Linked DNA regions of Lytechinus pictus. The protein of the gene in region 4 purifies or fractionates together with the protein of the main gene of each other region. This does not show direct contact. Links are inferred from orthologs where the notes say so. Each region holds a gene or a part of one and is shown on either strand. Other genes may lie near its edges.

Evidence for each region.
Region 1: the proteins of importin subunit alpha-1-like (region 4) and DNA-directed RNA polymerase III subunit RPC3-like purify together in Homo sapiens (co-immunoprecipitation; 3 studies listed by BioGRID and IntAct, with this or other methods). This does not show direct contact. The link is inferred for Lytechinus pictus from reciprocal best matches to the Homo sapiens genes KPNA2 and POLR3C.
Region 2: the proteins of importin subunit alpha-1-like (region 4) and GTP-binding nuclear protein Ran-like purify together in Homo sapiens (affinity purification with mass spectrometry; 3 studies listed by BioGRID and IntAct, with this or other methods). This does not show direct contact. The link is inferred for Lytechinus pictus from reciprocal best matches to the Homo sapiens genes KPNA2 and RAN.
Region 3: the proteins of importin subunit alpha-1-like (region 4) and DNA-directed RNA polymerase III subunit RPC6-like purify together in Homo sapiens (co-immunoprecipitation; 3 studies listed by BioGRID and IntAct, with this or other methods). This does not show direct contact. The link is inferred for Lytechinus pictus from reciprocal best matches to the Homo sapiens genes KPNA2 and POLR3F.

What each region holds. Positions count from the first base shown.
Region 1 is NC_087249.1:23,388,689-23,396,160, forward strand, and holds the start of DNA-directed RNA polymerase III subunit RPC3-like, read left to right. Parts: upstream 1-4,574; 5' UTR 4,575-4,853; coding exon 4,854-5,000; exon of another isoform or gene 5,001-5,060; intron 5,061-7,472. Other genes in the region: NAD-capped RNA hydrolase NUDT12-like, read right to left, coding at 1-154, 1,170-1,843, 4,366-4,574. UniProt on the Homo sapiens protein: DNA-dependent RNA polymerase catalyzes the transcription of DNA into RNA using the four ribonucleoside triphosphates as substrates.
Region 2 is NC_087246.1:34,163,447-34,170,443, forward strand, and holds the start of GTP-binding nuclear protein Ran-like, read right to left. Parts: upstream 3,008-6,997; 5' UTR 2,694-3,007; intron 2,472-2,693; exon of another isoform or gene 2,199-2,471; intron 49-2,198; 5' UTR 1-48. UniProt on the Homo sapiens protein: GTPase involved in nucleocytoplasmic transport, participating both to the import and the export from the nucleus of proteins and RNAs. Switches between a cytoplasmic GDP- and a nuclear GTP-bound state by nucleotide exchange and GTP hydrolysis.
Region 3 is NC_087251.1:35,560,003-35,567,069, reverse strand, and holds the start of DNA-directed RNA polymerase III subunit RPC6-like, read left to right. Parts: upstream 1-4,094; 5' UTR 4,095-4,185; coding exon of another isoform or gene 4,186-4,218; 5' UTR 4,219-4,317; coding exon 4,318-4,370; exon of another isoform or gene 4,371-4,505; intron 4,506-6,672; coding exon 6,673-6,790; intron 6,791-7,048; coding exon 7,049-7,067. Other genes in the region: histone acetyltransferase KAT5-like, read right to left, coding at 4,034-4,094, 4,186-4,218. UniProt on the Homo sapiens protein: DNA-dependent RNA polymerase catalyzes the transcription of DNA into RNA using the four ribonucleoside triphosphates as substrates.
Region 4 is NC_087248.1:5,553,313-5,560,621, reverse strand, and holds the start of importin subunit alpha-1-like, read left to right. Parts: upstream 1-4,296; 5' UTR 4,297-4,397; intron 4,398-7,309. Other genes in the region: protein DGCR6-like, read right to left, coding at 1-119, 692-831.

The DNA.
Region 1 (7,472 bases), on a different chromosome or scaffold from region 4:
ATGAAGCCTGCCAAGCAAGAATACATCTTTCCTGGGAAGCCCTTCTTCCTTCCTAATAAAATGCTCTTCCCATCCTCAGAAACTACAAGCATAATAACCACTGGGTCTAAGCGTGGGTAGCAAGTGTTATGAACTCCGTTAAGACTTCTACAACCTAGAACATTAAAACAAAACAAATAAAACCTCATTCTCATGTTTGACACTTGTAGGATAAGTGGTGTTACAGACTTCTTTACTGAGCTATAATAATTTAAAGGACAAGTCCACCCCAACAAAAAGTTGATTTGAATAAAAAGAGAAAAATCCATCAGGCATAATACTGAAAATTTTATCAAAATGGGATGTAAAATAAGAAAGTTACGATATTTTAAAATTTCAATAAATTTCACAAAATAGTGATATTCACATCCTTGTGGTATGCAAATGAGGAGACTGATGACATCACTCACTATTTCTTTTGTATTTTATTATATGAAAAATATGAAATATTCAATTTTTTTCTCTGTTGTTGTGTGAAACAATGATTAATTCCTCCCTGAACATGTGGAATAAGAATTGTTGAATACTATATGGTTCAATCAAGTTGGTCCATATTGTCAAATATGTAAAAAAATGAAATATTGTATTATTGAAACAATAAAAACAAAAGAAATAGTGAGGGACATCATCGACTGTCTCATTTGCATGTCACTTAATTGTGCATATCATTGTTTTGTGAAAAATAAGCGAAACTTTAAAATGTCATAACTTTCTTATTTTACATCCGATTTTGATGAAATTTTCAGCATAATGCTTGTTTGATTTTTCTCTATTTATTCAAATCAACATTTTCTGGGGTGGACTTGTCCTTTAATAACCTGCAATATGCAGATAAAGATGAATTGGACATTGAGAATATGAATATTCATGAAACAAGGGTCAGCCTATTATTGGCCAATGATTATGCTTTAACGCATGGAAAAAAAAGAGAGAGAGAGAGACAAGAAAGCCATGGGATGATGTGATCTAATCCTAAAAAGGAAATGCTTCTCTAGAGTCAATTACAAAGCATCAATATGATATTGACATAAAGCTTGTACACTAAATGGTAAAGTTTACAACCTATTTATCTAACCCAATTGGCCAACATGTAAAGATCAATATTAACCAACATGAAAGCAGGATGTTACCTTCTTTTGTGCAGACTCGTTTATATCCTGCCTCTGCCGTGGTAGTAGATGCACCACAGGTAGGGCAGAACTTGTATCTGTCATGCCATGCCAACATGGACCTCCCCTGACCGATGATACCAGCATCTGCTGGACTCAGAAGCATTAAAGCCATGCGATTCCTCTTGGGTAACATCTCTGCTTCAGGTTTGATCTTCTGCAGATCTTCTGAAGGAATATCGGTAACATCCACAGCAAACCAGGCACCTTCGGAGCTCTTCTCTTGCATGTCTCCATCCTTGTTCATTGGAAGGTGCAGTGGACCTACCCCTAGGAATATAATGGAAGCTTCCTCTTTCAAGGCAAAGGAGATTTCCTTATAGGAGTATGCAGCAAGATTGTACTGGAACATTCCATTGCTGTCCTCAGAAGGGATGATGTATGGATTCAAGTATCTGTACAGGATATAGGTAGTTGTGGGTGCTTGCATGGCATCCCTTATCCACTGTTTGTTGGTTCTTTGGTGGCTCTGGCGATCAAGTGGGTTGAGGCCAAAGAAGTTGACCAGGTCCTTGTTGGCAACTTCTTTGATCTGAGGATCACTCCTTAGTAGATTGATGACTTCAGTATGGTCCCAGAACTCAGCAATATCCAAAGAGTTCTGACCTGATTTGTTGGGTAGAAATGGATCACACCTGTGCAATAAGGGAACAGAAAAATGTAGGCCTACATGAATCACAAGAGCTACAATAATCACAAAGATCTAAAATCTAATCAGCATGACAAAATTGTTTTGAATAGAATCAAAGAGAAAGAACTAGAGGTCTATATCTTCCTATTGGTATTGTACATCATCATTAGTTGTCATTACCGGTACAATGAATTTTCTAAACTGCTTTTTTTTTTAAGTTATGAAATACAATCATTCTCATTCTTTTTTTTTTTACTTTGGATGTACCATTTTTAATGAAATCTAATGTATAACTATGCACCTGCAACACCATCATCATCAAGAAATTAAATGCAAACTTATCTCCTTGTTTAAAACTTAATTTTGATTATAGCTGTCTGCTCATTATTTATTGTAAACTTTGACATCAAAAGTATAAGGCATATCATCATCATCATCATCAACATCGTCACCATCATCATCAACATCATCCTTATCAATTTTCATCATCATCATCACCACCATCCTCCTCCTCATGATCATCTTCATACTTAGACCAAAAGCTTCGGTCTCTGTTATGTTGGTTGTTCAGCTGAACTCCGTTGGCTTCACTCACCAAATACAGAGACCGAAGTTCTAGCGCGATCTGTACAGGGGACTCAATGGCCATATGTTTATGTACTTAAGATCGGATAAAACGGGGAAGTGAATTTGCGCGACAGCAGTGGCGTAACAGGCGGGGGGGCAAGTTGCCCCCCCTGGCGGATTTCACCGGGAAAATAAAAGAAAAACGGGAAAAAGAAAAAAAAAGAGGGAGAAAGAAAGGGGAAGGAAAGGGGAAAAGGAAAGGAGGAAAAGGAAAGGGAAAAGAAAACGAAGAAAAAACTTTTTTTTAAATGGAAAAGGAAGGAAAGCGGGAAAATGTACGAAAGAAGAACATCTGAGAAAGAGCAAATCATTCCAAAATAGGCCTATGTAATGCAATAGCACAGTGGGAAATAAATCAAAAGATGACAAAATGGCAAACAATTGCGGGAAACGAAGGTAGAATGTAATTAGTCAAAAGCTAATGGACTGCATACAACATTGTGCTTTAAGCTTGCTAAATGCGGGGCTAAATTTTATGCAAATAAGCTACCGGGGCTTTGCCCCAGACCCCACGCAGTAGGGGCTCTTCATTTATAACCTTCAAATGGCTCTATAACGCCCCCCGTTCAATCACTGGCAGACAGGCGGGGGGGGGGGGGTCTTGGCTCCACACCCAAGAGGAAAGAAAATAAATTATATGAGACAACGTATAATGAAATGAATGGAAACAATAAAAGGTGTTATTTGCTGAATATAATGGAAAAATATATCACATAATTAGAATTTAATTTCAATAGGCATTTTTTCCAGCTCGCTTTGCACGCTGGCGACTTTTTACAAATTTTTCCCACATTGCAATGTTTTGCTCCCTCAAAATATTTGGTTCATTACGCAACTGGGTTGAATAAAATTTGTTGTGTAAAATTAAGCTATATTCTGTATATGCCCGCGATTTGATTAAAATAGCGGCAATCTGCGAGGTTTAAATGGCTTTGATATCAAGAAGTTCCGGGGGCTCCGCCCCGGACCCCAACCGCACAGCACAGCGTATGGAAGGGTTGGGCCAAGGAGATATCACTCTGTGATATCTCCTTGGTTGGGCCATGGCTTCAAAAAGTTCTACAAACAAGAACAACAAAAAAAGGAGGAAAGAAAAGCAAAGGAAAAGTGTACCTAGATATGATTTTATTTACTGAATAAAAAATAGCTCAAAGTTAGATTCTCAGGAAAAGGTGATTTTTTCTCGCTCGCTTCGCTCGCTCGGGACTTATATAAAGCAGCTTTTTAGCACATGTGTTATAATGCGCCCTTCCGTTTTTTTTTTTTACTCTTCACGCTACTGCCGCACAGAATCCTGTTCACAGTGGCGTACAGACCACAAAAAAAGGAATCTAAAGAGAGAAGAGTGAAATATATTATTCTCTGGATATCATGTCAAAATCTATCACAAAATTGGATTTTTGTATTAAAAAGGTCAAAAATTTTTGCTCGCTCGCTTCGCTCACTCGCAACTTTTTTTTAAAGATAAATTCTGCCTGATACGCAATATCTGGCCTTCTCAAAATAGTCGCCTCATTACACCATTGCACCTGTTCATACCATGATATGACCGGGAAATTTTTGGCTCTTGCCCCCCCTGGCCACCGACCCCTGTTACGCCGCTGCGCGACAGCCGAGGTAAGTCACTGTTTATGTTCCTTTTAACTTGATTTTTCTCCGTTTTTTGGCAATTAATGCCAAGAGGGAATATTAATTTGCATTTTGGTCGCGTTAATTTTCAAAATTTCTATTCATTAAAGACAAAAATTGAAGAGCCCCGACGGGGGGATTTTGCATTGCAAGTCCCCTAATGGTGGCTGCACGCTAGCGAGCCGTCTGTGTACGAGGAGAAAAAAAAAAAAAAAAAAGTTTAAAAACTCCTCGAAACAGACGGCTGCCAGCTGTCTACTTCATACTAACCCATTTTGTAACAGGATCTTGGCGACATCTACATGCCCGTTCCTGGCGGCCAACATCAGCGCTGTCCACCCTTGTTCATTGCGACTATCCAGCCCAAGTTTCCTCATTCCTTGCACCATTCGAGAAACATGGGCCGTTTCTCCAAGACTTGCACAGCGATGAAGTTCTGTCAATAGCTGGTCCCGAGGGGCTGTACTGATGGAGTCCATTCTTGTACCTCTGTTCTAAATCAGTAAATGTGATGTTGTTAAACAAATCTCAAGGACAAGGTTCGTGAATCAGCTGACACATGAAAAGACCCATAAAGTTAGACTTTCATGCAGTCGTTTATAAATGTGCGCTATGACTACTGTACAGTGTGTTGTACGTGTGCGAGCCAACAGTCGAGTGTCTTTGCTTGATTAAAAGTCAATAGACGGTAAACGCCTGTTCGGAACATCTGTTTCCATTGATTCTCAACGTGCATTCGATATTCGTGCACTCCCGAAATGTCTTCTCTGCAACTAAAGTTGGTCTCTCTTCTTGTTCAGGACCATTTTGGAGATGCTGTAGAGAAAGTTTGTTCACACATTCTGAAACATGGATCGAATAATTTTCGGAGTATAGTCTGTGCGACAAACGAAAAACCAGAACAGGTGAGGTAGTACATCATGGTCATGCCATGGATGATGATGGGTTTCTTTGACTTCGGTCCCACGTGTTAAGAATTTTGTTGGTAATAATTTGGATTCTGGACTAGGCCTCGGGGCACTCGAACTCGAAGAAGGGGGGGGGGGGCATGTTTGCCTAGCCTGGAGGCTTCTGGAGAGTAAAAGTCATCTACTATACGTAGGCTTACTTTCCATGAAGCCTGAGTCGGGATACCATTGCTCTACACACACCGTAGGTTTTCCCACGCGGTGAAAGAAACCACTCTGGGGCTACACCGCTATTCCAACGCGTGTTGGAAAAGTCGACGCCAGACGGGTACGTTTTGGCCTTGAATTTCCAGCAAATTAATCAAAATTACGGCCTAAATTTAGGTCTATGTTATCAATTATATACTAATTTCATAATTATAATGTAAAACGGGTACTCACGGGTTCTTTTCTTTCCAAATTTTGTGTTTTCATCGCCTCTTCTGGCCAACTCTTGCGATGGATTTTGTCGCCATAGGATCCTGTACGTGCAAATCCAGGGCGAGTTGTCACATGACGCTCGCGAGTCTCTAGGGGTAATGGCCTTTAATCAAGGCGTTCTTTTTGCTATAATTTTATAATGACGCTTAAATATCGAAATCAATGTAGACGAGTCTGTGCAGGGGCATAACAGGGGTATATAAGAGGGGGCATAGTACATGTCGCATGTGGAAGATAAAAGTTACGTAATGTAAGTCCCGAGCACTAGCGTACCTAGGGGGGGGGGCAGTCTGCCCCCCCCCCCCCGATGAGTCACAAACCCATGCAAATTACATATCTCTGCCCCCCGGCCCCCCTGACGAGCTTGAAAACCTATTTTGCCCCCCCCCCCCCGACGAGCTTGAATACCTATTTTGCCCCCCCCCTGGCGAGCTTGAAGACTTTTTTTTTGCTTGTCAAATTTTTTCTGGTACGATTGAAGACCTTTTTCATTGAAGAGCCTTTTTTTCCTTTTTTTTTTGCTTGTCAAATTTTTTGGCGGCCGATTTTGCCCCCCTGTGGAAAATCCTAGGTACGCCATGCACTGCCCGCGCTACATGTATGTTGGTAGCCCTGGGACCTCTGGATATTAACTAATCCAATTTAATTACAGATGGCAGATTTTTTTATTATCTGAGTAGCCCCCCCCCCGGATTATTTGTTCTCACATTACTTTCCTTTTTAAATTTCCTTTCGTTCTTTCTTTCATTTTTCTTTCTTTCTTCCTTCCGTTGCTCCTATGGTTTTTTTTCAGGTGAAATCCACTCGGGGGATGGCCAGCCATGCCCCCATCTGTTTATGCCTCTGAGATGTAGGCTATACTCATGATCTTAATCTTCGATTTTCCAAAGTAGGGGGGTGCAATTTCTCAAGTAAAATTTGACAACCCCCCCAAAAAGGTTATCACAGAAAAATTGTCATTTTGTCTCGCGTAAGATTTGACAAGTAAAAAGAAAAGATGGTTACTAAAAATAAAAGACTCATTTTGTCCGTGTAATATTTGGCAAGCCTCCCCCCCCCCAAGTTTAACATATCGGAGGCGCGATGGCTCAGTCGGTAGAGCAGGGGTTTCGGATTCCGGTGACCCGGGTTCGATTCCCAAGTGGTGCGCTAGTGCCCTGAAGGCTTATCCTCATTACCAGGTCCCTCGGAGAGGACCTTAAGCCGTTGGTCCCCTGGTTGCTTGCTCACAGGCATTCGTGCTTTTTTAGCAGTCAGGTAAAAAATCTCGATATAACATAACATTAAAAAAAAGTGAAGGTCATTTTGTCCTGCGTGAAATTTTAAAAGTAATAAAAAGATGGTCACTAAAATTGAAGTTCATTTTGTTTGTGAAATATTTGGCAAGCCCCCCTCCCAAAAAAAGGTTTTAACTAAAAATGATTGAAGGCCATTTTGTTCCTCTTAAAATTTGTCAAGTATAAAAAAAAAAATCACTAAAAAATGAAGGTCATTTGTCCCACGTAAAATTTGACAAGCCCCCCCCCCCTAAAAAAAATGAAAGGTAGCTGATAATGATTGAAGATCATTTTTTCTTGCATAACATTTTACAAAAAAAAGTGTGTCACTATTTGGCGAGCCCCCTACCCTCCAAAAAAAAGGTTTAATTAATAATGATCGAAGGTCATTTTGTCTCTCGTAAAATTTGACAAATAAAAAAAAAGTTGTCACTAAAAAAAGAAGGTCATCTTGTCGCGCGTTATATTTGGCAAGCCCCCACCCCCCTAAAAAAGTTTGTCATTAAATATAGAAAGTCATATGTTCAAAGTAAAATAAATTTGGGAAGCAAAAAAGAAAAGGACAAAAAAGAGCAAAGAATATGAACAAAATATCCCCATTACAAATATTGCTGTGATTCTCATAAGGAGGTGGGGGGGGGGGGACTTAACTTTGTACGAACGACATTTTTTTTTTACATCCAAAATATTGACTATGAATCTCAAAAGGTGG
Region 2 (6,997 bases), on a different chromosome or scaffold from region 4:
TTTTCTGTCTGACACTGGTTGCTTGCGTTGTGATAAAATCTGTAGGATCTGTGAATATAATGAAAAATATTATAAACTTTAGGAATTAGGGCAGAGTCAAAACGTTTAAACACTGTTCAAACTTCAAACGACTGTTAACAGCATTAACGTTAACCTATTTTGACAACCATTTAACCTGTATAGATCTAAGATTAGGGCCCAGGGGGAAAAAAACCTTCCCAAAAAGTTGCTGAAATGTCACATTTTACATCTTTATATGTACATTCAGGAAAAGGCTATATATTTTCCAAATTTACTTGAAATGAATATTCACCTCTTTCTTGACTCTGAAAGATCGTTTTATAATGTTACACTCTGTAAATATTCTAGTCCAACATTTAGACTTTCATTTAGACTTTCAACAGAGTGTAAAACAATAAAAAACAAACCAATCAAACGATCATTTTCATTTAATGTTGCAACACCACTGAAGTCTGCATGTGGGACTACAATATTGACTAAGTGTAACATCATAAAACAATTTTCCAAAGTCGATCGTCGAGAGAGGCTGAATATTCTTCATTTACTTGATAGTTTTCAACTAAATCAAAACGATTTTAAAGAAATCTTTAAAGTAGGTGGCCATTTCATGAATGCAAAATGTGAAATTTCAGCATCTTTTTGGGAAGGTTTTTTCCCCCCCTGGGCCCTACTAACGTTAGATCGATACAGATTAAACAGTTGTCAAAATAGGTAAATGTTTGACGGTCTTTTGAACAGCTTTTAAATGTTTTGACTCGGTCCTAATTCTTATGATTAGGCCTAATACATAATATAAGAAATTTTAAAACAATAGAATACATACATGACATAAGAAAACAAATTTTTTACTTTTTGAAAATTACATTTGAACACAACGTCACAAGTCAATGGCACAAAGAGAATCTAAAAAAAAAATTAATCCGCAGCTTGAGCTTTATTCTAATTAATTATCCAGAGTAAATCATACATATCATTATCATTCATTTAAAGAAAAGTTATCATTTTTTTTATATTGCTTCAAACCACTCTAGGCGACACCCCAATACTTACCCGTGCTAATAAACTGGGACTCCACTCACGCGCATTTGGGCCGCCCTAGCTTAGAACTAAGCAATATTATCTAGAAATTGTTACATTGTAGTCATTAAATATGTTCTATTAAATAAATTGATAATGTTTAATCGGTACTCACCGGTTCTTTTGTTGCATTTTCAGACCATTTCTCACAATTCTTCGTAAATATTTGCGGCAAATTTTGTCGCCATAGACAGCTTAGCATCCATCTTTATTGATAAATGGAGCGCCCTTTATGATAGTTGTTAATGCCGCGGAGAAATCGTTAGGCATTTTGGCCTGTGTTCAAGGCGTTCTTTCTGTTTTATTTTTTATATTGAAGATTGTGCATTTGTTGAATACCGCCGTCTACGTCAGGTATGAGATCGAGTGTATAAATACATCTTCCAAAATAATTATGATTCCGACCTGGCGCTGTTTAACTTCAATCTCTTTCACCTAAATTAGCGATGAATGCTAGCATTATAAAATATATATTATTAACGTCTGACAAAGAATAACCAACCGATCAGCTGACGAGAACGCGAATCACGTGATCTTCATATCAGCTTCGATCGCGAGTCAGAAGAGAAGAGCAGCTGCCCAGAAAATCAGGAAAAAGCCGTGAAAATGTAAGTTCCCCTTCATTTCTTTCATTTTTTTGTTGTTGCTAACGATGCATTTACACTATAAAATTATAATTTAAATAAGAGAAAGGAATATAGCTTGTACTTGTGATATATCCTGTTCTCAGAGATTTCTAACCAAAAATACTACTGATGTTGCCTATGAGGTCCATACATGTAATGTTGGACCTCATTGGTACTAGGAGTGCTTCAAACGCTGATTCTGTCATTCTTGATATCAGAATAATTTATCCTTTTGAAGTAAAATTGTAAAACAAGATGTTCACACACATTTTAATTTTTATTAACGAAAATGCATCCATGACCCATCATGCCCATGGCATGTGTTACTGCATGTCTTTATTCAACCAGACCTTGAGAGAAAATGGAAAGGTGTATAAACATGAAAATTTGCCCTTTTCATTTTAAATGCTTAAGAATGTCACTAGAACTAGAAGTAGAAGTTGAACTAGTACTAGTAGAAGAAGTAGAACCTACGAGTATGATATGAAGTCTAAATTTTACTAAATTTAGAGTTAGACACTAGGCAGAAAGTTGAGAACATCTACTCTAGCCTAGGCTTAGTAGGTTGAGATCTGACGCAATCTCAGTCAGTCACAGCCGTTTCCAAGACGATTAACTAGACTAGATCTATCACTAAAATATATCTCGCATTCAAGCATGTGCAAAAATGCCACATCCAGCTCAATTCGCAATGCCCACACAATACTCAATAGGCGCAGGCCTACTGACGAATGGCCAACGTACGTACAAATGCATGCCTATGGCTATATGGAGCCGGTCATGCCGGTTGTGAACGAACCAGTCATAACTGGATTGCACGGACGATTTTCGATGATAAAAATCAGTATGATACCTCATCAAATTCAAATAAAATATTAGTCGAATGAGACTTATGATGAAGACGCATGAATTATGAATCATAAATTTTCCTTAATGCTATGAGAAACTTGACTATAGAAATTATCTTACCTATTTTCCTTTCTTTAGCTGGCAATTGTCGCGCGCAAATTCAGTTCATTCATCACACGTGAGAATTTCAATTGCACGCGTACTATATACTGCGAATTGCTATCGAGCGAAGATAGCAATGTGAAAGTAGAACTAATTCAAGTCGCAAAATTAAATTTGAAGTACTCCGAGCTGCATGAAACCAAGAGTAAACTTTAGGAAAAAAATTGGGACTTTATACGGGACTTTATATCCGGGCTTTATATATCACGAAAGTAGAATGAGCAAAAGATCCTGCGCCCAGGACTGAACTTCATTTAACCTTATGGATGTATGTAGTAATTTTATACCTTCTGAACTTTGCTTGAATTCCCATGCCCTCAAAATAATGAAGGCCATTATGATTACATTCCATCATCTTGTCTTTTTAATTCTAATATATATTATTCAAGTTCATTCCCGGAGTTCATTTCATTGTACAATGCGTTGAGGAAACCGTCTAAAAAAAAACCTATTTTTTAAACAGCTGGTATCAAGTCATTGCCATTGGTCTAATAAGTCAGAAATATCGAGTCTAAAATAGGTACAATTTTGGGATAGTTATATATAAGTAAGAAACACAAAGACAAACTAATTATTCAAAATTCCTGAAATTAAACTACGAATATGAAGAAATCTGCGCACGCTCGTTCATGAAGGTTTCGACGCATGCGTATCATCTTGACCCGTCTGCTGAAATGGAAAATTTCCTTGAAACCATCCAAATCTTGATCCCTGACACTAGTACTGGCCGATACGGGGGGGGGGGGGGGGGGGGGGGGGGGCAATGGGTCGTGGCCCCCACCCTATTGGCGGCGAAAAAAAGGAAATGAGGGGGGGAGGAGAGGATATAAAAAAAGGAAAAATTAAAGGACGAAGACGAGTGAATAAAATAAGGTGAGGCCGAGAAGACTTGGAAAATAATTTCAAAAAATCTTGCATGTCACTATATGTAAAAATTTCACTCGCGTTTCGAACTCGCATTGTGAGAAAGTTGCTTCAGTCGTCTAAAACATTGTGCATTATAGAGGATAGTAAGCCAGGGTAATTATAATCAATAACTAAGACTTTAGAAGAAAAGGGAAACGGAGAAATGAGTATTTATATAAAAAATATAAGGATTAAACAGTCGAGATTCGTGCAATGAAAACTCATTTGCTCACTAGTTAGAGGTGAGTTGAGCATAAAAAATGGGATCATGATTATCGGGAAAAGCGGTTCCTTATGAAATCCTATAGGATTATAGAATCCTAGTATAGGCCTAATATAAACTTCTGAAAATGCGGAAATGGAACTATGATGCAAACGGTGAAACTGAAAAGGAAAATATTAAAGGAAATTTTTGAATAATAGTTGATATTGTATTGAGAGATGATGCAACATTCAACATTTGGAGCAAAATTCAACTTTGACATTTTAAATTATTAGACTGTTGCGTCAATTAATGTATGTGATTGGAATTATGCTAAAAAAAAAAAAAAAAAATTGTTAGGATATGTGGGAAATACCGCTGTCGTTACAAGGCTAGAGTGTTTCATTGTAACGGAAAAAAATTGATCAGTGTCATCAGTAACTTGTCGTAAAATAAACTTCAAGAATATGTTTATACACCTATATTTATTTTTACAAATTATCCCCCGCTTCCACAATGATGCCATGTGACCCCCCGCCAGTGTATTTAAGGAACGTTTTTATTGGTTTATATCAAAGTTGTTACTATATTTAAAAGTCATTTGAATGATTTAATTCATGCCTTGGATTTATTATAACCATATTCTTATGATAGCGGATAAAACCTTTGCAACAAGCTAAAAGTAAGGATTTGTTCATTATTTTGTTACGGCCAAATTCTTGTAGGAAAGGCGACCGCGTTAGAAATTTTGCGTTTTTTTAAATGCAAAAGTAGGCCGACTCCACTGCTACCATCCTGCCTGTGCCGCTGTGGGGAAATTACAGGTAGGACTATGGTATGCCAATGCTGTATTGAGCACACACTTTAAAAAAATCATTAAAATATCACTTTTGTGACCAAAATTATTAATTTCCATACAGTTGCAATTTAATTTTCATTAGTAACTTAGAATAATTTTTGTATTGACCAGAGCGCTCAAAAACTTGAATTTTGGGCATATTTTTGTGTACGCCCTCTATTGGTGGAAAGTAATATGGCAACAAAATTTACATTTTTCAAGCTCTATTTTTAATCAAGAAAAAAATAATTTAAAGAATCAAATTTGCTTAAGAGCCAAGTTATATACTGTAAAGCTGTAATGGAAACTGACAGTGCAAAAAAATCAAGCATTTGTCCAAAAGAAAAAGAGAAAATAAGCCAAACATTGTCAACCTTATGGACACTATTGGCTTCCCATAATTTTAGCACAGAGTTAGACCATGGTCTAAGTTAAACCTGACTCAGGCGCGTAGCCAGGGGGGGGGGGCGGTCGCCCCCCCAAAAAAAATGCTCCCAAAAAGAAAAAAAAAGAAGGGGAAAAGGAAAAAAAAAGAAAAAGCGAAAGGAGAAAAGGGAAGAAAAGTAAAGCTTCGTTGTTTTTTTCCTCTTTTTTTGTCAAGAGAATAAAAACCTGAACGAGACGTTCTTTTCTCTTTACAAAAAAACTTTCTTCCGCGCTCCGCGCAGGAAAAATATCAAAATTGCTATTCCCTTTTGTTTCCCACACCTTTTTTTCTACTCCGTTTTCCCCTTCCCGGCTGGGGGAATTGTATATTCTTGCCAGAAATTATAAAGTACATGGGCGAGTGTAAAGAGTATGCAAAGTATTTTTAATTGTTTTGCATTGACACAAAATTTCGGCTCATCTGTTCGGAGCGGGGAGACTTTTTCCGTCACTACCCGAATCCCCAAATGCTATTTCTACGCTTTTCAAGAAGTAATTTTTTGCAAAGTATCTGCTCAAAGGGGAGACGTTAAATTCATGCCGTGGTATATGCAAAAATAATTATGTACGATATTACACTTTATTCTGTATCGCTGTACATCCATTTCCTGTCTTGTTTTGCGCCATTGATTTGAAATTTTGAATATCACTGAAGTTTCTTGATCAAACAAAAGGAAGCGCTTAATATGAGCGAAATTACACAATGTTTTTTCTTCCAAAATAAATCACAGAGGTTTCCGTGATTCGCGAGCATGGGAAAGGAAAAGTCCCTTTTCTAACTTGCATCATTCCTTTCAAATTTTGAGCTCGTTTTTCTTCTTAATCGAGTTGTATATAATCTAAGAAATATCAAAATTAGAACAGGTTAAAGTTTCAGAGAAATTTCTATAATTCAGAGCTTCAACGCCATTCGCGGAAGGAATATAGGGCCTATTTTCTTCCTGCATATACCCGTTTTCTGTTTTGACTTGAGTTAACGAAATTTGATGTGGATAAAGTTTTCACAATCAAATCTGATGTGACCAAGATAGGCATAATTATGTATATGTATTATCACCATTGATTGTATTTAATTGTATATAATTGTATTGTTTGTTATCCAGGGCCTCATGGAAGATCAACTTTTGTTGAATGAGCTACCCTGGTGAAATATGAATAAATAAATAAATAAAAAAATAATAATTGTAACATTTCTGTTCTCTATTTTTATAAAACGTTTTAAGCTTCCGCGCTTCGCGCGGTAAGAGGAATTATTTCAAATTCTCCAATCTTTTCCAATTTTTGGGCGCTCATAATTTCTCTTTCGAAAACAATTTGTTTTTAATCACAGCAGGTCAATTGAATTCGAGTTGATAGGGTACTAGAGACGCAAGAGACGCCTTCAGTTTTCAACATTAACGCCTATCGGGAGCTCTGTAAGTGTTGGCACCGTAATATATAATAAGGTCTTTGGTTGGTACACTTCGCGTGCACTTACCGCCCCCTCAAAAATTCAATCCTGGCTACGCGGTTGACCTGACTTCAGAGTACGGGCCCATGTGGATAATTCTTTCACATTGGGTTTGGGTCTCATCTATCCAATGAAACTAAGAATTTTGACAGAATGTTACACTTGAGTGAGCACTGAGTTTTCTGTAAAGCTCGCAGAAATCGGTTTGGGCAGAAATGCTTATTTTCACGCTGTGTCAACAGGTCAAGGAAAACATATAGGCGAAAACAAACTGACTGTGCTGAACATTTTCTCATCATGTTTAGCCAATTGAAATAAACCAGATACATAACATTCTGTAACAACCTTGCCACCCAAATCAACATTTTAATCCTAGGTAAGCACAACCTTTACCTTTTTGTGCCAGCTGGATATGAGGACATAACTGAATGTAAACAAAA
Region 3 (7,067 bases), on a different chromosome or scaffold from region 4:
TTTCTATCAAAAAATAAAAACAGATTGATTTCAATTGTCTATTATCTCATTATTGTCTTGTTATTGTGGTCTCAATAAAATTGTTGATATTATTGTCTTTTCATCGTTTCATTATTGTCCCAATTATTATTATAATTATAATAATTATTATTATCATGATAATTATTTTTGTTTCATTAATATTATTTTCTAAATAATGATTACAATTATAATTACTATCATTATAGTAATATTTGATCATTAGAGTAATTATTGTTATAATTATTTCATAATAATAATCATTATTGAAATAATAATTATTATTGTCTCAATAATTATAAGGCCTTAAATTATAATTATGATTATTTTTATAATTACAATTATAATAATTTTTATAATAATAATCATTATTGATGACTTATCAATATTACTGTCTCAGTAATTATTACAAGTACAATTACTTTCATTATAATTGTTATCATTATAATTATTTTATGATAATTATTATTATTGTAATAATAGTTATTATTGTCTCAATAATTATAAGGCCTTTAATTAGAATTTTGATTATTTTTATAATCATAATATTTTTATAATAATAATTATTGATGACCTTTCAATATTACTGTCTCAGTAATTATTACAATTATAATTACTTTCATTATAATTGTTATCATTATAATCATTTTATAATAATTATAATTATTGTAATAATAGTTATTATTGTCTCAATAATTATAATTACTATAATCATAATTATTTCTACAATTATATTTATTTTAATTATAAATAAGTATTACTATTATAATGATTATTATTGATATCTCATTAATATTATTGTCTCAGTAATTATTACAATTCAAATTACATCATTATAATTGTTATCATTACAATTATTTTATTATAATAATGATTACTGTAATAATTATTATTGTCAATAAATACTAGAATTGATGTCTCATTAACATTGTCTCAATTATTACAATTATAATTATTATCATTATGATTATAATTGTTATCATTATAATCATAATAATTATTATTGTAATAATAATTATTATAATTGTCTCAATAAATTATTGTCTCATAATGTCTCATCATCTCTGTTGCCTCATTATTGTCTTCTCTTATTTTTTCATAATATCTTCAAAATAATATTTAACACCATAACAAAGGTCCATAAATCAGATATCAAATTCATGAAACTCATCTCATGTATCTAAACCTATTTCTAAATTAAATTCATGAAAGGAGCTTTCTGTGCCATTCAAAAATACGACTTTCATTAACAATACCATATTCTAGACATTCAGACGCATTGCAACAAAAAAATCACTTATCAAACAAAATTCTTGAAGTTTACTTGCAGTTTTGCTCTTAATACTTATTTCACACGAATTCTACAAAATTATTTTCAAAATAACAATTTGATTTTCATAATTAACAGAGCTCAAATCGTAATTAAAAAAAATATACAACGGCTGAAACATACCGTGTCTGAATACCAAGACTAATCTCAGGCCCAACGCAGTGGGGATGACGTCACTTACAGCTGTTCGTATACGCTCAAAACAACCCTGCTCGATCGGCCGAGTCAGATTCACAAACACCTCATGACACTCAAAACTGAAGCTCATATCCGCAGGCTCTCTACGGACCAAATTTAATTAGAATTTAACAAAATGTTCTCAAATATACAATTTTATTACTGACCGAGTTTACAAGAGATCCGATGATTACAAGAAGGTGATTTCAAGCAAAGAAAAATAAATACCTGAATATTAGGTCCTTCCCTCGCATGAAGGTAAGTGATACTCCATCTTATATATTTCCGATGTTTACCGAAGATGTACAAAGCAACCGCGGGAATTTTTGACCAATCACAATCAGCGGAATAAAGGAAGAAACTGACTCTGTCTTTTCGAGCAATGCCGAATGCAACTCCAGCGCTCGGCCAAAGTGTCGAGCGGAGCGAACTGTGTGTGTTAGATATGCGCTCGCCATTCACTGCAATGCAAAAATCTACGTCTAGCGCTGTGTCCGCGCAATCGCCCGCCTGGCTGAAGTGTCTAGGCCTAGCAATAATTAAATCAGATTTTTAATATTTAAAAAATCATAACTCTCTTAATATTTGGCCTAGAGTAATGGTTAATAATACCATTTTAAATGTTTTTTTCAGCCCTTTCCAATGAGCTAGGTTACAATGTAATTCCATGATTTTTATTTTTTTTGTCACATATATGGCAGTATGTCCAAACTTCGCGCGTGTCCATACTTCGCGGACGGTCATTATTTAAAAAACTAGCCAATATCCTTAAAATCTGACATCATCAACGTGAAAAGCGACCTAAAAGTACCCTATAGTGAAAATTTCTTTAGGATGAGTTCAGTATTCATGAAAATATTGGCAAAAGATCGGCAAATTTGCCACCGCTAGCGCCCGTTTTGAAGAAATCAACAAGCATCACGATATCACCATTTTGCAAGCAGAAATCATAAAAAATGTGAGTTAAATGTGGTACTAACCGATTCCATAGCATTTTGCCATCAATCTGATATAAATATTTCACTTTTTTAGCTTGATTTTTTGTTTAAATCTCCACAAAAGCTTTGGTGCGCGAAGTTAGGTCACACTTTTTCTGAACGGTTTTCCAGCACAGCCCGCATTCGCCGATCGGAATAGAATTTTGAGATCGCGATACCGGCGAAACCCCTTGACTAGACAGGAATAACCGTCGTTTCTGGGGATTTATTCAACAATTTCTGACATTTTACTGTAATCCCCATTTACCGACGGTAGGGTGTACGTGTGGGCTCGCATGTGTTCTCATTCCCTCCCTTTTGTCAATTCACAGTCCAAAGTTTGATGTAATTTTACACATCGAATTTACAATCTAAGGATGTATAAACAACAAACTTGTAAAATTTAATATTTTAATATTTAAATACTTTAAACGATATAGATGAAAAAGGCATGAAAAATATACTTTACCGATGTTTAATTGGGTTGAACACGATAAAAATGGTCAAAATGGCAGCCAAACTATAAAATATTTACAAACGAACGTCAACAATCACGAATGTGATATCGATATTGCTTTCGATATTATACGATCTGCTCCATATGCGATCGAAACCGAAGATAAACGATACTAGTTATACTAGTACTAGTACTAGTTATAATCGCGATATATCGATTCGAGACATTAAGTTTATAACGATAATGACGTCATTCAAGATGGCAACTTGCAAGAAAAACCGTCAGGTCAGGTGAAAATGTCTTAGATGACAGATTTCTCAATCATCCAGAGGATTTTTTTCAATAACTCCGGCCCAAGGTATGCAATTACTAAATTTATTCATATTTCCCTGATAATGGAAACCATGATGAAACTTTCAATTTTGCTTAAAAAACAGTTTTAAATCGCGATCTATAAAACGCTAGTTCACTATACGTTGGCTGTAGGTACGGGGCCCCATCCCCTTCAGTCTATGTATGGTGAGTGGAGCCAACGTAGTTCAGCGGAACAACCAAAATACAGAGACTGAAGCTTTTGGTCTACCCCTTGACCTACTTTACATTTTCGTCCATGATTTTATAGTTTACGATCTTGCCGTCAATGTGGTAACTATTTCTTGAATTGGTTTTGTATAAATTATGAATATTTTGTGAACAAAAATAAGCCTGATGAATATTTTTGAAAAGTGCGCGAAGTTTGGACACCCCATCATACCTATCTTAAAGACTTAGCATGTTATTGTTAAGGCTTAAGCATCCTCTTTTTTGGCAAATTGGCAATGTTTTTATTTTTATTTAAAATGCTCTTTTAGCACTTACATGTACATGCACTTTACATATTTAGTTGGATATTACAAAGATTTTGAAAAATATTATGTCCTTAAATCCTTGGTCCATTTCATGGTTGAGAAGGGACGTGACTTTATAAACAAGACATAGGGCCTAGGTAAATAAATACAAAGAAATTTCACCAATATAGCAAACGCAAAAGTCAACACATGGGACCAAAATGAAATAAATCCAAAGAGAACTTACGCCACTCATCCGTTTGCTTCATTCTTACAGGCATGCGGCATCCTTCAACCACCAGATCTTCCTGAAAAGAAAATTAGAGTTGCGATTATAAGTTCAAATAAATAGGGCACAATAAAAATTTAAAAGAATTAATAAAAACGAGCAAAACTCACAGTTTTTATCGATGAATCATTATTTTCCGCCATTTTGTTTGTGTGTTTTCTCTCAAAATTACTCCACTGCCGACGGCTTGTCCAAAAAAATTTTCTTGTCCAACTCCAAGAAAGAAGCACAGATAAAGTAAAATGAGTGCAGGAGAAAAGAAGGAATCACCAGATGCTATGAATCTAGAGGAGAGGTATGAGCCGTATCATATATGCATTTTAGATCGATTTTTTTTTCTAATTTTGCATTATATGTTTAAATTTTTGTTTTTTTCTAGCCAAAAAGGTCGTGCTTCACTTCAGTCCCACCTGATGTCTGTTTTGTTTGCTCTGGTTTTGGAAGTTTGTAGTTGTAATATAGTCACGTATTGTATTAATACCGGACACTATTATGATTCCGGACGCGCATATTACTGCGTTCTAAAACAAATTCGTACCGTAAAACTTCCGCAATTCAATTTCACAGAGCAATACATAGAACAAGATTGCAAAAACAAGGCGAAAAATCCAACTTTTACCTAATTATCTCTCAAAATGACAGAAAATGCTTAAAAGTTAAAATATCATATTATAACATAGTTTTGTATTAACAATTGATGTATTTTCTAACGGAAATATGGGCCTGATTTGCCGAATTTCAATCTCGTCCACTCCTTCGATCGAATGATGAGGTGTGGTGTATTGTGGGTGATCGTCGATGGCTAGTTCTCAAGGTACCCGTGCGCGAGGTTTACCGTGAGTAGAGCCGTCGATCGGCAGCGCATCGATAGAACTTGATGAGCGTCACGATATGATACGAACGCGAGCATATTATTATTGGAAAGTGCCATGGAACATGCAGCTAACAAGACAAAATAAAATAAGTTATCAAACACGAATTTATTACCAACATCTGCTCAGATTCGATATAAAAAAGCAAATAATACTTAGAATTTACTCATGATATGATATAAGAAGAAAAAAATCACACAAATTTGCTCTTACATCATTATAATCAAGGATATCTTTACCCGTCCGGCGCGCGTCCGGAATCATGATGTAATTTGTCGCGCACGAAAATAATTGTTTTTCATGGAGGGGTATGCGGCAACTGCGATGCAAAGAAAATGGTTGGTAAATATAATTATAAAATAATTTTATCATATTCATAATTTTCATAATATTTGGAATAGCAAGTGTGATTTTTTCTTGATTGTATTTCCTCTAGTTGTCATTTTTAAAGCACTGAAATAAAGGTGTCCGGCAATAGGATACACTGCCATACAGCTAGTATTGCTATTTTCAATTTCACATTCATATAAAAATTAAAACATATTGGCCCGTATTCTGAAGTCGGGTTTAACTTAAACTCAGGTTTTAAGTTGTGGTTTAAGTATGGTAAGCCAATGGTTACATAAATCACTATTAACAGTAGAGATATCATATTTCAGCTCATTTGGCTCTCAAATCATTCATAATCCTGATAATTGTCTAGGAAGTATAAAATTAAAATTGATTGTCTTCATCATCGATGAATCAGGAAAGAGCACAGTAAACATACAAAACATACAACTTAATAAACATTTTGACACTTTTGGCTTCCCATAATTTTAGCACAGAGTTAGACCGTCCATGGTCTAAGTTAAACCTGACTTCAGAATACGGGCCATTAGATTTTTGGAAAAGTACCGGTAGTCATAATGTTCTTTTGATATGAAGGAAACGGACACGAAAACTTAAACTTTTGTTGTCACTTGTTTTTTTTGTTGCTATTTATGAATTTTGCCCTTTTCTGTGTAAAAAAATGTTGGACTGGAGTCCAGTCCTGGAGGCTGGACCTGGAATCTGGATTGTGAAAGTTGCATTGCAGTTGCAATGAAATTATCTAAATTATAAGACCACTTCTAGTACCAATGAGGTCAAAAGTGACTCAAAACGTAACCTATTGACCTCATAGTCAACAATCGTACATATATGGGGAGGTGCACTTGTAGAAAGTCGCCTCCCGTGGCAGTACACAAATGCATGACGACTAGTTTTTTTTTTCGTTTAGATATGAACTTCCTTGAGTGAAATTATTATTGTTTATTGCAATTTAGATATTACAAATTATATCTAAGGTAAAACTTTTTATTAAATATCTGTGGATTTTGTACAATGGTACTTGAAAGTCTTACTACGCTGGCAGCTTTTTTCAACCTTTTTTTAGGTCCCAAAGACTCCCACTCACTGCCTCCTACTAGTCCTAGAGTGTATAAGACTAGAATAAAATACAGTCAGTGTCACTTAATCTCTCTCTTTTAGTCCAGGCAGATAATTTGGCATTATTTGATTTGAAGGCTTATTTATTTTGCTGTCAATACCTGACATAGTCACTTTTTTATAAATGTGAATTTGAAACAGTTGATTTTCCATTATTTTGAATTTACATTGTATCTCAAGACATTATGGTCTATCTCATCAACAGTAACCAATTAATTTGAACTTTTGTAATCTGTTTTCTTGTTCAAATTACAGAATCCTGGAACTATGTAAAGGAGAATCAGATGGTATTCGAGATTCGGCTATTCAGAAGCAACTTCCAAACATTGATGCTCAACAGAGAGTATCGGCTGTCAACAGACTTCTTTCATCAGTGAGTTTCTTTTTTCACCCCCCCTCCCCCGCGAAGGTGGTTGTCAGAGGCATTCATTATATTTTGGAGTCATTGTGTTGCTAATCTGAGAATATATTCTCAGTTAAGCAACACAATGACTCCAAAAGGTATACCTTCAAAGGTATACCTTCAAAATAAATATGAAAAACATAATTTTGATTCAGTAATTCCTATTTGTTTACAATTCAGAGCATATTTGATGAAGAAATCTAATTTGCATCCTTTTCTTTTATCTAGGGTAAAATAGACTTGGTGA
Region 4 (7,309 bases):
TTCTCTCCATCATCTGTTGTATCTCAGAGAGATGTTGGACAATCTCAAAGACAGTTCCATCCAGCAGAGATAAAGCTAGGTTAGATATGGTTGTGTAGGGTAGCCGCTGCTGAAAATTCCTGTTTATAGAAACAATTAGTGCATACCTGAATTATGTATCCATGATCCATTCAAATAAAGTAAAATCTGCATTTAAGTTGATCTCTTGGGACTTTAATAACACATGTTTTGCATTTTCTATTGTCTGAGAAAATGCCTCAACTCAGGGAAGGCCCTGTAACAAAATATCAAATCAATTGTAAATATGAATCATCAATGTGTCTAGATGAAAATCCATCCTCAGAGTTACAACTCACTATAATTATTCTTTTTTCCGGTTAAGCATCTAGGAATCATAATTCATATACTAGAATTGCCATTAGTGATATTACATCTCATAGATTGATTGAAAAGCTCATTATTTCTGAAAATTCTGAAATATGCTTCCTTTTATTTCAATATTTTAATTTCACAAATTGAATTAGCATCTTTATTTCAGCACAATTTATTGGAACAAAGAGAAATCTGTTTGACTTGTAAGGCAAATTCAACTTGTAGATATGTAAAATACACCTTGCTTTGTAAATTATGATCTAAAAATTGCTTTAACTTCTAGAAGGTTGACCAAGACAGACTGTAGTACTGTACTCACATAGGAATCTGCCGAGCCATGTCCTGTAGCTGACTCAGCATGGTATAATGACGTTCTTGCTTCTGTCTTTTGATATCCACTTCTGATATCATGTAGGCCCCTTCTTGAAAACTCTCCTGCCCTTCATCCCTAGGGTCCATCTTTATGAATGGCCTTTGTCTCAAGTGTGTACACCAGCTGTTGGGATACTTGAATTAAAGGCAAACAAGCATACATATTCATCACTATAAAATGCATATCAGATGTAAAATACAAAAGTTATAAATGTAAAATGTTTCATTTTCAAGAAAGAGTGATAAGCACAACAAATGTTGCTGCCCTCTATGTCTGTTGATCAAAACAAACCCCAATTATCAAGTATAAATCCGAAGTACTCACAAGACTTATGCGACAGATGTTAGTTATCGAAAAATAGCTGTCATACATACAATGGTTTTATTCCATTAGCCTGGTACACTACACAATCAAACAGCTAGGGCAAGAACTATTGGCATGAGTATAATCTCGTATGACAGTCATTACAAATCACTGTCAGTCACATAGCTTTTTTTTATTAGCGTTGTGTCCCCATCGTGATCAATAGCTGGATGGAGCTCGTATGCTGCCGAACGTGCACGTACATGTACGACCTTGAGGCTACAGAATAGCACTCCATGACACAATTCACAAAATAACAGGCCATATCAATGCATTAAGTAACAACACACACATACGCAATAGAAAAAAATGTGGAACTTGGTGCATGCTTGACCTTAAAGTTCTTGTAAAATAAAAAAAGCAAAAAGTTTTCAACCAAAAATTTAGGGCATTTCGTCCACAAATTCTTTTTTAAAGGTCTTCACTTTCAAAATGGGGGGGGGCACACTTGTATTTTAACAGAGGTAGAGGTGTTGTGGCTCAGTGGATAAGTCTCTGGACTTTGAACCACAAGGTCCGAGGTTCAAACTCCACTGCAGCACTCGCATCCTTTGGCAAAGCGTTTATCTACATTTGCCACTCTCCACCCAGGTGTAGTTAATGGGTACCCGGTAGGAAGGAATTCCTTGAATGCTCAAGCGTCTGATCGGGATAGCCGTGCTAAAGCCAGGGTAATAGTATGCAACGCTTAGAAACATTTGTATTAAAGGGGAATCCAGCCTTGGCCATAAAATTTTGTGTTGGGAAGGAGAAAATAAATTAAACAGAATGGTGAAAGTTTGAAAGAAATCGGACAAGCAATAAGAAAGTTATAGCTGCTTTAAAATTGAGATCACTAATACTATGTAGATTTCAAATTGGCAACTGAGTAAGTAAATTATGACAAGGGGCAAGGACAACTTTCCCATAGGCCATGCACTTTATTATCAGGGATTTGTGGTTTTCTCCTAAGTACCCATTCCCCTGGGGCAGTAATCTAAATATAACCCAGGTAGTATATTGTTTTATGTCCTCATGAAATAAAAATTAAATTTGAAATAAAACTTTTGGGAAAAACAACATTTTAGCCATAATATGTATTGGAGTACATGGAAGAGTAGTCCTTGCCTTACATCACTATGACATCCCATATGAGGCCAATTTGAAGTCTCCATGGGTATAGTGATTACCAATATTTACAACATTTAAAAATTCATAACTTTCTTGTTGTTTGTCCAATATTGTTCAAACTGTCACATATCAACTAGTCTGATTTTTCTTTTCCTTATAAAAACAAGTTTTTATTTGGGTTGGATTATTTATCATTAACAGTATTTTTACATTACAAATTTTAATCGTGCCTCTCAAAATGGGGGGCACGGGCCGGCTGTGCCCATTCCTGGATCCGCCAGCGTATCAGGCCACACCAACGCCTAAACAATGCACACACACACAATGGAAAAAAGTGTGAAAATTTGTGTGCAATCGACCTCTTGGGGTAATTTTAATAGCCTCATAAGACTGATAAGACTGTGCTGTAGCTCTACCTAGCTGATATCAACGCTAGAACTTCTAGAAAAAAATTACGCCATTTAGTGAAAAAAGTATTATAATCTCCCTATAAATGTGTTATGAACGCCCAAGCCGTCAAAACCTTCTTGGCAGGTACATTGTGAAGGCAGATCAAGGACTCGCTTGCCGAAGGTCCCAGCTAGATAAGGATTCTCTCCTTCATTTCTGATCAATTTGTTGCATTTCAGTGAGCAAAATTAATTTCTCAAACTCCTCTCCCGACAGTGACAGGCATAACAAAGGAGCACAAGAGAAATAGACCGATCAAGTGATTAGAGGCCGGGATATGGACAGAGCAAGAGAAAGTGTGAGAATGTGACAAACACCACCCCCCCCAAAAATAGACTCCTTATAAAGTTATAGATCTAGACTACGTATGGCAGTGTATCCTATTGCCGGACACAGGTACCTTGAGAATTTCAGCCGTCGACGATCACCCACAATACACAACATTCGATCGAAGGAGCGGAAGAGATTGAAATTCTACAAATCAGGCCCATATTTCTGTCAGAAAATATATCGATTGTTATATAATATTTTAAGCATTTTCTCTCATTTTTAGCCTTGTTTTTGCAATCTTGTTCTTCTATGTATTGTTCTGTGAAATTGAACTGCAGAAGTCTTGCAGTACAAAATTGCTTTCGTACGCAGTAATAATGCACGTCAGGAATCATAATCATAATAGTGTCAGGTAATACGTGACTAGACTATATAGTCTAAATATATATTCAATTTCTTTTACAATAACCAAGAACATTCCTGTGCACGTCACGCGTCATCGGCATGCCCCATTTTTTCTTGGCCTCGGGCTCTTCCCTCAAAATTATTAAGTCAACCTCATCCAGTCCAATCAATCCAATAAAAAAATAGTCCTTTTTAATTTTAGTTTTTCATCAAATTATATGGTCAATTGGCTAGTCAAAGTCTAGATCTAACAAACGTTAGATCTAGTTGATTTGGGTAGCTGTCACAAAACAGGAACTCTTTCCCATATTTTTATGGTTACTTATTACTTAATTTTAGCAATCTCTAGTAAAAGTCTGACTCTGATTCTGAACAATCAATGTCGCGCGCTGGCTACTGACAGTGACACTCAGCACTAGCTAGCTCTGGCAACAGGCATCCTAGCGCGAATTGAATGAAAAGTCCCCCGAAACTCAAGGCGGCCTCATCTCAGACGTCGCCTCGCCCTCGGTCTTGCCAGCATGAGTCAGACATTTTATAATGATACTCGCTCTCTCATACTACTCAAAATCGTATAATCAAAATTATTAAATCGTTTGAATTTTCTTCTGTGTGTTTAAATAAAAATTTACCTCACAAATCTAACACTAACTTTAGGAATGCCTGAAAAAAGACACGTCTAGACTCTGGCTCTTCCTTTTTTCCTTTCTTGTTTGCGCATGTAATCTGAATGATATCGATCATGATTATCGATATGCAAATTAATTATGCACGAACCTTTAAATTTCAAAAATCGGTATGAAAACTTAGTTGGAATTCTATTTCCTTGCATCTAACTCAATAATATGTACTTTTAAAATATTATATAGCTATTTTAACGAATAATTCTACTAATATGTAACTGATTAGTTTGTTCTAAAATCACAAATCTTATGCAAATTGCCCTCATGAATATTGTTATGATGATCAGCCAATGAACAGCTTTCTTTTTCGGCTCTTTAAATAAGGCGCATCATTGGAACTTCATTTCAGAGTTCGATATCGGCACGAGCAGGTGAGCCTCTTTGTCTCCTTAAATTTGTTTCATATTTTTACTAAAAAGAAAAGAAAATTGATACGAATTAGTTTGTTTTGAGATTATAGAAACTACTGTAAATAATATGCTGCTTCATTTTTTTGTTTTTTGGATGTGAATTCAATGATTTGATGATGTTTTCTGGCATGTCTGGGAGACTTGATTGAACTTCGTAGGAATGATCTGCAGATCTGTGACTGTGGTCTGTGTGTCAGAAAGACTGTGTGAGTGTGAAATGCATGACTGCGCTGTCTGAAGTTTTGGAATGTTGGGCAGAGAAGTGAGAGAGTTCAAGTTCGTCTTTATTTATCCATAGGCCTATTGGAAATCTGTTTTGTTCACAAATTCAATTCAAGTTTACAAACATAAAAAAATGCCTTAATATAGGGGCCTAGGCCCTATATAAATTAATTAGGCCTAGGCCTATTAATAAAACCATATTATTTCATGAATAATACTAGAATTTTCAACAGTGAAAGTAACTTGAAAAAGACCGAACATGAAATTTGAATTTAAATTCTGGATCAAACCATTTTAGAAGGTCTATCTTGTATGCCCAGTGGTTGTGTGTCCGGACGGGTTGGGTGTCCGGACACATGACTTTTACTCTCAATTTTGAAAAGTTTACAAGCAATGTCTTTAATTCTTTTTAGCACAGAATATAAGAAAATATTATAAAGAACAAATATTGATGGTGAAAAAAAACTATTCAACCTATATTTTTGGTTTATTCCTGAGATAAAAACAAGGCTTCATTTCTGTTACGTGTCCGGACACCCAACCCCCCATCCTACTTAGGATGGGGGGGTCGGGTGTCTGGACACTTTATATTTTTGAAGCCTTTTTGGATTAGGGGTCTACACAAAAAATATGAAATCAATCAACTTCACTCAGTTTTGCTCTGACTCTGTAACTAATATTGCTTAATGCCTTAAAAAGGGCAAGTCCACCCCAACAAAAAGCATATGCTGCTTCAACTGTCTACTTTCAACTGTTAACATGTATAATTTGTTTTTAGCTGAAATTTCTTGTCTTCCTATGTATTTTCCTTAAGCGCTTAGAGACATTCTTTGTGATAAGCGCTATATAAATGATGTTAATTATTATTATTATTAAGAAGAATCTAACAGAGAATAACACTAAAAAATTCATCAAATCAGATGTAAAAAGAAAGTTATGACATTTTTAAAATTCAAATTTTGCTTGATTTCACACCAGTTATCCTGGTCGGTATGCAAATGAGGGGACAGATGACGTTACCCACTTACTATTTCTTTTGTATTCTTTTACGTGACATTTGACATGGTCTGATTTTCTCCATATTATCCTTTGAAACAAAGTTTTATTCCTCCCTGAACATGTTGCATTAACCCCTTTATTAAAGGACAAGTCCACCCCAACAAAAAGTTAATTTGAATAAAAAGAGAAAAATCCAACTAACATAACACTGAAAATTTCATCAAAATCGGGTGTAAAATAAGAAAGTTATGACATTTTAAAGTTTCGCTTAATTTCACAAAACAGTTACTCAGTATATGCACATCCTGGTCAGTATGCAAATGAGGAGACTGATGATGTCATCCACTCACTATTTCTTTTGTATTTTATTATATGAAATATGAAATATTCTAATTTTCTCCTCATTGTCAAGTGAAACAACGATTAATTCCTCCTGAACATGTGGAATTAGGATTGTTTAATACTATTTGGTTCAGTCAATTAAGTTGGTCCTCATTGTCAAATCTGTAAAAAATGAAATATTGTATAATTCAAACAATAAAAAACAAAAGAAATAGTGAGTGAGTGACGTCATTGACTCTCATTTGCATGTCACTGAGTTGTGCATATCACTGTTTTGTGAAAAAATAAGCGAAACTTTAAAATGCCATAACTTTCTTATTTTACATCCAATTTTGATGAAATTTTCAGTTCTGCTAGATTGATTTTTCTCTATTTATTCAAATTAACATTTTTCTGGGGTGGACTGGACCTTTAACATTGTTTAACATGTGGTTCAGTCAAGTTTTACATTGTCAATTCTGTAAAAAGTAGAATATAATAATTGTGTAATTGAAACAAAAAACAAGAGAAATAGTGAGTGATGGACATCATCAACTCATTTGCATATCACTGAGTTGTGCACTGTTTTGAGAAAAATAAGCAAAACTTTAAAATATCATATCTTAATATTTTACATCCGATTTTGATGATATTTTCAGCGTTTATTCTTGCTCGATTTTTCTCTATTGATTCAAAAATAAAATTAACATTTATCTGGGGTGGACTTGACCTACAACAGCTTATGCTAAAAATTGATAGAACTTTTCCAAATGGCTGTTTAAAATCGATTGTCTGGACACACGAACTGTCGGGACACACAACTGGGTAGATACCCAAAGTACACATTGCCCTTTTTCTCGACATTCGATTATCTGCGGCACTCAAATTATTTTTGACAGGGATGTGCATGCCTCACATTAAAGGGTACTCTGGGTTGAAAATATTCATAAAATAAATAGAGTAAAAATTCACAGAGCAAAATGCTGAAAATTTCATCAAAATCTGATAACAAAGTTATATTGCATTTTAAATTTTTATTTAGCAAACAGTTGTATGTCATGAATATTCATTAAGTGGGCTGATGTCACATCCCCTGATCCCCACTTTTTTCTTTGTTATTACATGAAATCATGTGTGAATGAGTATGTCTCTCAAAAAATAATGAAATAAGTTGCAGCTAAATGAATATCTAATGCAGATCAGTTGTCAATCCAAATTTTTTTAGTTCTTGGATAAACAAAATTGAATAAACCTAATTTCATATAATAAATGAAATATGACATCAGATTGCTCATTGAATATTCATGAAGAAATGCATAGAACTGTTTCAA